Schizosaccharomyces pombe: one gene and its partner. The gene in region 2 interacts genetically with the main gene of each other region. Each region holds a gene or a part of one and is shown on either strand. Other genes may lie near its edges.

The links.
Region 1: mutations in ibp1 (region 2) and alg12 together harm fitness more than expected from each alone (negative genetic interaction), as found in Schizosaccharomyces pombe (one large-scale study listed by BioGRID).

Annotation. Positions count from the first base shown.
Region 1 is NC_003423.3:1,083,422-1,087,354, forward strand, and holds the start of alg12 (dolichyl-P-Man:Man(7)GlcNAc(2)-PP-dolichyl-alpha-1,6-mannosyltransferase), read right to left. Parts: upstream 1,934-3,933; 5' UTR 1,898-1,933; coding exon 1,739-1,897; exon of another isoform or gene 1,691-1,738; coding exon 706-1,690; intron 661-705; coding exon 164-660; 3' UTR 1-163. Other genes in the region: F1-ATPase gamma subunit atp3, read left to right, coding at 2,515-2,594, 2,674-3,499. UniProt on the Schizosaccharomyces pombe protein: Mannosyltransferase that operates in the biosynthetic pathway of dolichol-linked oligosaccharides, the glycan precursors employed in protein asparagine (N)-glycosylation.
Region 2 is NC_003423.3:610,824-614,087, reverse strand, and holds ibp1 (Cdc25 family phosphatase Ibp1 ), read right to left. Parts: upstream 1,670-3,264; 5' UTR 1,419-1,669; coding exon 1,002-1,418; 3' UTR 769-1,001; downstream 1-768. Other genes in the region: its8 (pig-N family GPI synthesis protein), read left to right, coding at 1-581; P-type calcium transport ATPase Cta3, read right to left, coding at 2,804-3,264. UniProt on the Schizosaccharomyces pombe protein: May play a role in DNA replication checkpoint via regulation of hsk1 or may act downstream of hsk1 in an S phase regulatory pathway.

The DNA of each region.
Region 1 (3,933 bases), 470 kb from region 2:
ACTTTGAATTGTCTGCGAACTAAAATTATGTTTATTCACTCTACTTATCGTTGCAATACAATTCAAGTGGGGGATGCTACTAAATTGTAACTGTAAATACAAAATCGTAAAACTTGAAGAATATACCTTGAAAAAATTTTACTCTCGTTTTCTTACTAAACTATCATCCCTGGGTGATATGCGTTAGAATCCGATCTTTGTCAATAAAAAAGTTCAGACGGTCTTCCCGGTAATCTCTTGTCAACAATGTGTCAGGAGATACCACCCTATAAATAGGAGGCCAAAGTTTAATCTCGTCAACTTTATGTCCGATGAATGAAGAGTAGTCATCAACTGCGGCAGGTTTAGTTGCTCGTGCTTTTTTGTTTGCCAAGATGTAAACGGGCTGTGCTGGATTTCTTATGGAGATTTCTCGCGGTATGTGATTACTTAACCATTTTGGAAGGATGGGAATTTTCGTGTTGGAATTAACGGATTCTATAACATCAAAAGTATCATTATATGATTCGGGATCTTCGGTGATTAAATAGTCGAATTGGGAAATAAATAAAGAATTTGAAAGCATTTTAGGATCCTCAGTTTTGTCATAGTACCACGATGGAAGCTGTGAAAATCGAGTTATACCTGTCATACACGGATATACATCCATGTGTACAGAAACTAAGTACGTTAGAATAATCTAATTGGTGAAAAAGTTGAACTTACCTTGGGGATGATTTTCAATTTCATATAAACGAGTTAATGCTAGACCACCAGGGTAAGCGTATTGAAAAACATATAACAAAAAACTGCTTCCAATAAACCCGAAGATTATCCCCGAAAAAAACATTAACCTTAGAATTTCAAATATTTTCTTGCCAAATTTACTGGCATTAAAGCATAAGGAAGCCCCAATTGCACTAGCTGCGTTAAACCAAGGGATCGAATAGATAATAAAGCGCCATTCTTTATGGCCTAAAAATGAATAAACAAATATAAAGAAAAGGGGAACATATATTAAAAGACGAGCAGGCTTGATGTAAACAAAGCTGATTAAAAGGAAGAGCAATGTCGTGGGATTGAGAAATAGCCAAGGAAGTCTCACAAAGTAGTAGTAAAAAGGGCTTGTTCCCCAATCTGAAGATTTCCCTTCAACAACATTGAATAAGAAAGCTTCTAATTCAGGCCAACACCAAGCCCCCCAGAAATAGGAATCAATGAGAAAAGAAGCTCCCACTGCTGCTAATGAAGAAGAAATACCAACGAGTAGCAATTTTGATAAAGTAATCCTCCTCTGAAGCAATAATGGTAGAATCAAACACATTAGAAGTAAAGCTATTTCGGACCTAACAATCGCTGCGGCAAAAACTAAAATACTGATAGAGCCGTAATAATTATTTTTAAGTAACAAAGAAAGAGAGTGGTTCGTAGCTATTAGTCCGAAAATATTTGACAATGGTCTGGACATATAGTACACGAGGTGAAATTGAGCGCAGCTAAACAGTATAAACAGTGCTCCAGACAATGTGCCGAATCGTTTGCTAATGGAGCAGCTTACAGAATTCATACTCTCCCAACTTAAATACCCAATTGTCCATCTAGCGGCAAGTAATGGATTAACAAACCAAGAAGGTATATAGGACAAAACTGCTATAAACAAACTCGGTATGAAACTCCGTTTAACGGCTCCTGGAAACTCCAGATGATCATACTAAAATATGTGAGTAATTTAAATAAGGAAATAATTATCAACTACTACCTTTGACAAATCCCAACGATACGTCTGAATGTCATGAATCGCTTGCATAGCAAACGACTCTTCTACCTTTGTAAACGGAGTTTTGTACGAATAATACCCTATGCATGTCACAAGCAAAATATTTGCCAAATACCAACAAATGCTCTCTTTAGAAGTCATCCCGCTTCATCATTTATTGAAAGCATACAAATAGTTATTGGAGAAAGAGCAAAGGTGAATGAATATACGTAAATAAAGCAACGATTAATTTTGCTAAATCTAGTTTAAGGAGATTCAAGGTAATGATTTATTTGTTATAAACAAGGGTTGTTCGCTGCACTGTCTTCTAACTTTGCATCTTTGTGTACGTTAAGTATCTGCTTCTCCTCTTTTAATCGAACATTTTATATGTTAAATTTTAATTACCTCTACTATTTGCAAAACGAAATTCACATCTTTCATCAAAATTTAATTATTCCTTCTGTTTAGGGAAACTTTGAAAGAATACAACGATCCTCGTTAACTGATTTACCATGGTAGTTTAACGTATAGCGTTTTGGAGGAATATTCATTATAGAAAACGTGCTATTATAATTAAGGTGAGAGATATAATTGCATTTCATTTATTATTTAAACTAATTTTTCTTCTTATCGTTCCTGAAAATCGTTGCTAGTACGGTCTATAGAACGATAGATTCGTCGGTTCCAATAGCATGCTTTACCACGGGTATACACCAAACCTCCCCCCATATCATTACGAAACAGGAATCAATAAAAGCTAACGTCAATTGAACATTATGCTTCGTCAAACGCTAACTCAGGCGTCTCGGATGCGTCCTTGTATATCTGTAGTTGGATTTCGGGGTTTTCACGCTAGGTATGTTGTTTAGGTTTACTTTTTGTGATTCACAAACATATTCGAAGTTGAATGCATTTTTTCTAACGATTTTTTATAGTTCTCCTTGTGAGGCAACGCTAAAAGAGATTGAACAAAGGCTGAAGTCTATTAAGAACATTGAAAAGATTACCAAGACCATCAAAACTGTAGCTCAAACTAAGCTTACTAGGGCTCAACGTGCTATGGAAGCTTCTAACAAATACTATCGTGTATCTGATGAAGTGTTTAAGGAGGCTGGAACTAAAGCACCTGAGGAGGGTAAAACTCTTATGGTTGCTTGCTCTAGTGACAAGGGTCTTTGTGGTGGTATTCATTCTTCAATCTCTCGTCTTATCCGTAGAGAACTACATGATCCTAAGACATTTGAGAACACAAGTTTGTGTATTTTGGGAGAAAAAGTTCGCACTCAATTACTTCGTTTCTGTCCCGAATCTTTCTACTTGACTTTTGCACACATTGGTGGAGCTAGTCCTTCTTTTGAAGAAGCTTTACAAATTTCTAGTAACATTTTGGAACATGCTAAAGACTATGATAGAATTGTTCTCGTCTATAACAAGTTTGCTTCCGCTGTCTCGTTTGAAACTGTGATGAAGAACTTGTATACAACTAAGGCCATCAATGAATCCCCCAATCTCTCTGCATACGAGGTAAGTGATGAAGTCCATCAACCACTCATGGAATTTGCATTTGCCAATGCTATTTTTTCTGCCATGGCGGAAGCTCATTGCAGTGAAATGTCATCTCGTCGTAACGCCATGGAAAATGCAAGCAAGAGTGCTGGAGATATGATTAACAAGTTTTCCATCCAATATAATCGTCAACGTCAAGCCTCCATTACTAACGAACTTATCGATATCGTTACTGGTGCAAACTCTTTGGCTTAATTCTTGATCTCTTTGGTAAGGTTCAAATGCATGTTAAGATTTTTAAATTAAAGAAGTTTGTGAAATATAAGCGCTGAAGTCAACGATATTTCTTGTCTATTTAGCTTAACTTTTTACCTTTATACCATTTGAACCGTAATTCATTGAAAACGTTCAGATTAAGCTTACCTTTTGTTCTTAATAAATTTACGTCCATCTTTTTATCGTAAGTATTTTTCATGTAGAGAATGTTGAAGAGGTTTTTGTAAAGCATGTAAGTGTGCGCAACTTAACTGAGTAGCCATTTGTGATAGCTAATATGGGCTGATCAAGCAAATTTGTTAAGATGACAGAGGAGTCCTAGTATTGTATTGTTTTAGAACTAAATTGAGTAATACATGTGGAAATTAAAGAATGGAAGCACCTGACGCAATAGATTAACAGTTGGAAATATG
Region 2 (3,264 bases):
TTGAAGCACTCTTCTATGTTGTTTTATTTATAACATTAGGATTATGGATGGAACTAGAAACAGAACTTCAAAAATATACGGAACAACTACATCCCGAATATAGCAGAAAGAAAGATGCAAAATTCCATTTATCTCTTTCTCATATTCGCATTTCCCTTTTCTTCTACATATTTATTAACGTCGCATTTTTTGGTACAGGAAACGTGGCTTCACTTTCCACATTCGCTTTGGATTCGGTGAAACGTTTTATTCCTGTATTCAATCCGGTAACACAAGGTGCACTCTTAATGTACACTATTCTGGTTCCATTTATCGCACTTTCGGCAGCTTTTGGAATAATGAACAAACGACTGGGAGGGATTCAGCAAGTTACTTTCTTTTTGGCAGTTGGAATGGCTGATATAGTTACAATTAACTTTTTTTATTTAGTAAAGGACGAAGGCTCGTGGAAGGACATTGGTGTGAGTATTAGTCATTTTTGCATCAGCAACTTTTTGATACTTTTTATTACTGCTCTGGAACATGCAAGCGCGATTCTTTGCAAAAATATTACCTACACTATTCATGAGAAAGTTAATTAAATTTAGATAATATTAAGATAGCTGATACTCGATGAAGTATCGCATCGTTCTCTCTTTTTTTCTTCCCTTACTTATTCTTTATAAATATATATTGGTAAACCGATTATGAGAATGTCTATACATGACCTTATTAACGAAGTAGGTAAATATTAAAAGTATAAAACACTGATAAACGAAGGATTATTTTAAAGAAAATGTGTTTGTATAATTGTAGGCATGCAAACTACTACTAAGGTTCTTGGAGATTATGAGATGTAGTTTATATCCATACAGATTGTAAGGATTATATCAAACGAATGGTGTTGCGAAAACACAAAGTATGAACCCGGAGTGGGATAAAACGTACCAAATAAAAAAGTTTAAAGCAGGATTTATATGAGTGACAAGGAAGAAGTCAAAGGACTTTTCAAGCACAATCAATTAATCATACTCGATAAGACCTTGTTGACCACCATACCGCCGTTTCCATGCGGAAAACCCACCATGAAGGATGTAAACAGTAGGAAGGTTTTGAAAGAGCTTTTCTTTTTGGCTTAAAGAGAGCTTTTCCTTACTTTCTGTTATACGGTTTCTCAAAATTTCTGAAAGTACTCTGGCAGCTTTAGGACCGCGAACTTGAGAATAAGTGCAATGGACGATGAGTGATCTCTTCTTCATGAGATCGTCAACATGCTGATCAACACTAGCGAGAAAAGTGTCGGAAGGAATACGCACACTGCCAGGAATACGTTCTCCTTCGTAATCGTAGTCACGAACATCGATTATGCTAATCTCGTTAGGCGATTCCATTAACCAGCCTTTTAAAGCATCAGGCGATACATAAGACAAAGTAGACATCGTTTACGAAAGGCTATAAAAGTGAATTAAAAGCAAAATGAACAACTATCAAGTAGCTGAATTGAAGCAAACGGCTATGTAGAAAAAAAAATTCAGTTAGAAAAGTAGAGAACACCAAACACAATAGTAGTAGCTACAAACTCGCTTAAGTAAAGATTAAAAGAGGGAAATCAAATAGTCTGGTATTATTAATAGTATCCGTTTACAAGGTATGTATTTCTCGTCTACTGAAATATATTAGTGGTAGAAAACAAGGATGCCAATGTCTCAGAACGAAGTCTGTAGCGTGGTACGTTACATCCAGTACTGGATTTTGAGATTTTGGAATCACAAACATGAGAACATGTATGAGATAATCGGTGTCGTTTCCTTTTATTCTTTTTTTATTTTTTTAATTATTTCTTTGCATTTCAGGGCCGAGTTTGTCATTTGGGGTTGTGTTCAGTTTTGTTAATGTAAATAAAAAAGGCTAGTAGGAATGTCGCAAATTTATGGGCATCGTTGCGACCAAGATCTTCTTCTTTATTTTCTTAAAATGCTGGAATAAAGAGGCATTTGTAGAATCCGCTTTTCTCTTCAACAGATTCTCTATTGACTTAATGAATTAAACCGATTAATCGAAAATTTTTATATCGCGATAACGAGGAAATGTGTTTACAGCTAACTCATTAATTATTTGTATATACTACCTGTAGAATAAAAAAATTAAAAGGGATATTTTTTTACTTCTAAATTTGCTATGTTAAGCCATATTGATTAAAGTGAATAAATATATAGCTAGTTGCGACGTGAAATGATCGGCCAACATTATTTAAAGATATTAGTCTAAAGTGACTTGTATTTATTCTTTTTGGTCTTTTTATTGCTTTAAGAAGCTTAACAAAAAACGGACTAGAAATTATAGAAAAAATGAAAGAAAGTATGAAACAAGGAAATCAACAAGAAAAGCGATTAAAGGAACTTTTCCTCAAAATAAAAAGGAAGTAATTATAAAAATGAGAAGAAAATTAATTAGTAGAGCAGAAGATGAAAGAGGATCTTGCCATTTACCATTCACAGCAAAGAAGTCTTTCATTAGTAAACGTCTTTAAACGATTAAAAAAGAAGAAGAAGAAGAAAAAAAAGGATTTATATGAGCATGCAATAATTGTAAACAATATGATCATTTGATTTTGCCTTTCGTGAAACTATTTTTTAATATGCCTTTTTCATAAACAAACAATAAACACTATAATCAACCAACATTTTCCCAAATTCCCAATTAAAGTCATTGATCGGTATAATCACGATCATCAAAAAAAAATTATAAATCCTTTACGATTTGTCGGTTCTGTGAAAACGATACACTCACGCATATTCATATACATATTCATGGCAAGAAAACATTAGGCTCTTCGAGACTGCAAAAACAAACGATGCTCTAAATCCTTTTCGGACAATTTGGATTCAGTGGTAATCGTATTACTGAGCGTTCTTCTAAACTTTCCTTTTTTCTGTGGATTGGTCAAGCTTCTTCGAATGCTTTTCCAAATTTCGACATAAAAAAAGTAAAACATCACTGCAACGGCAACAACTCCCCATTCCCATCCAATATACGTATGCTTGAAAACGTCTCTATTAATAACAGGAATGTAGATGGTAGGAAACACCGAAACAGCTGCAAGGGCAATGGCCCAAGCGAGGAATTTGTTTTCAACCAACGTATGGAGAAAATAACGGAAGTTCCATTCACCCCAAGGAATCCCATGAAGGTTGAATAGGGAGTTGTCAAAGTTTTTCACCTCGACTGCCATAATAAGGATGCAAAAGGTCACAACTGCAAAAACAGCAGACCGTGCTTTGAAAA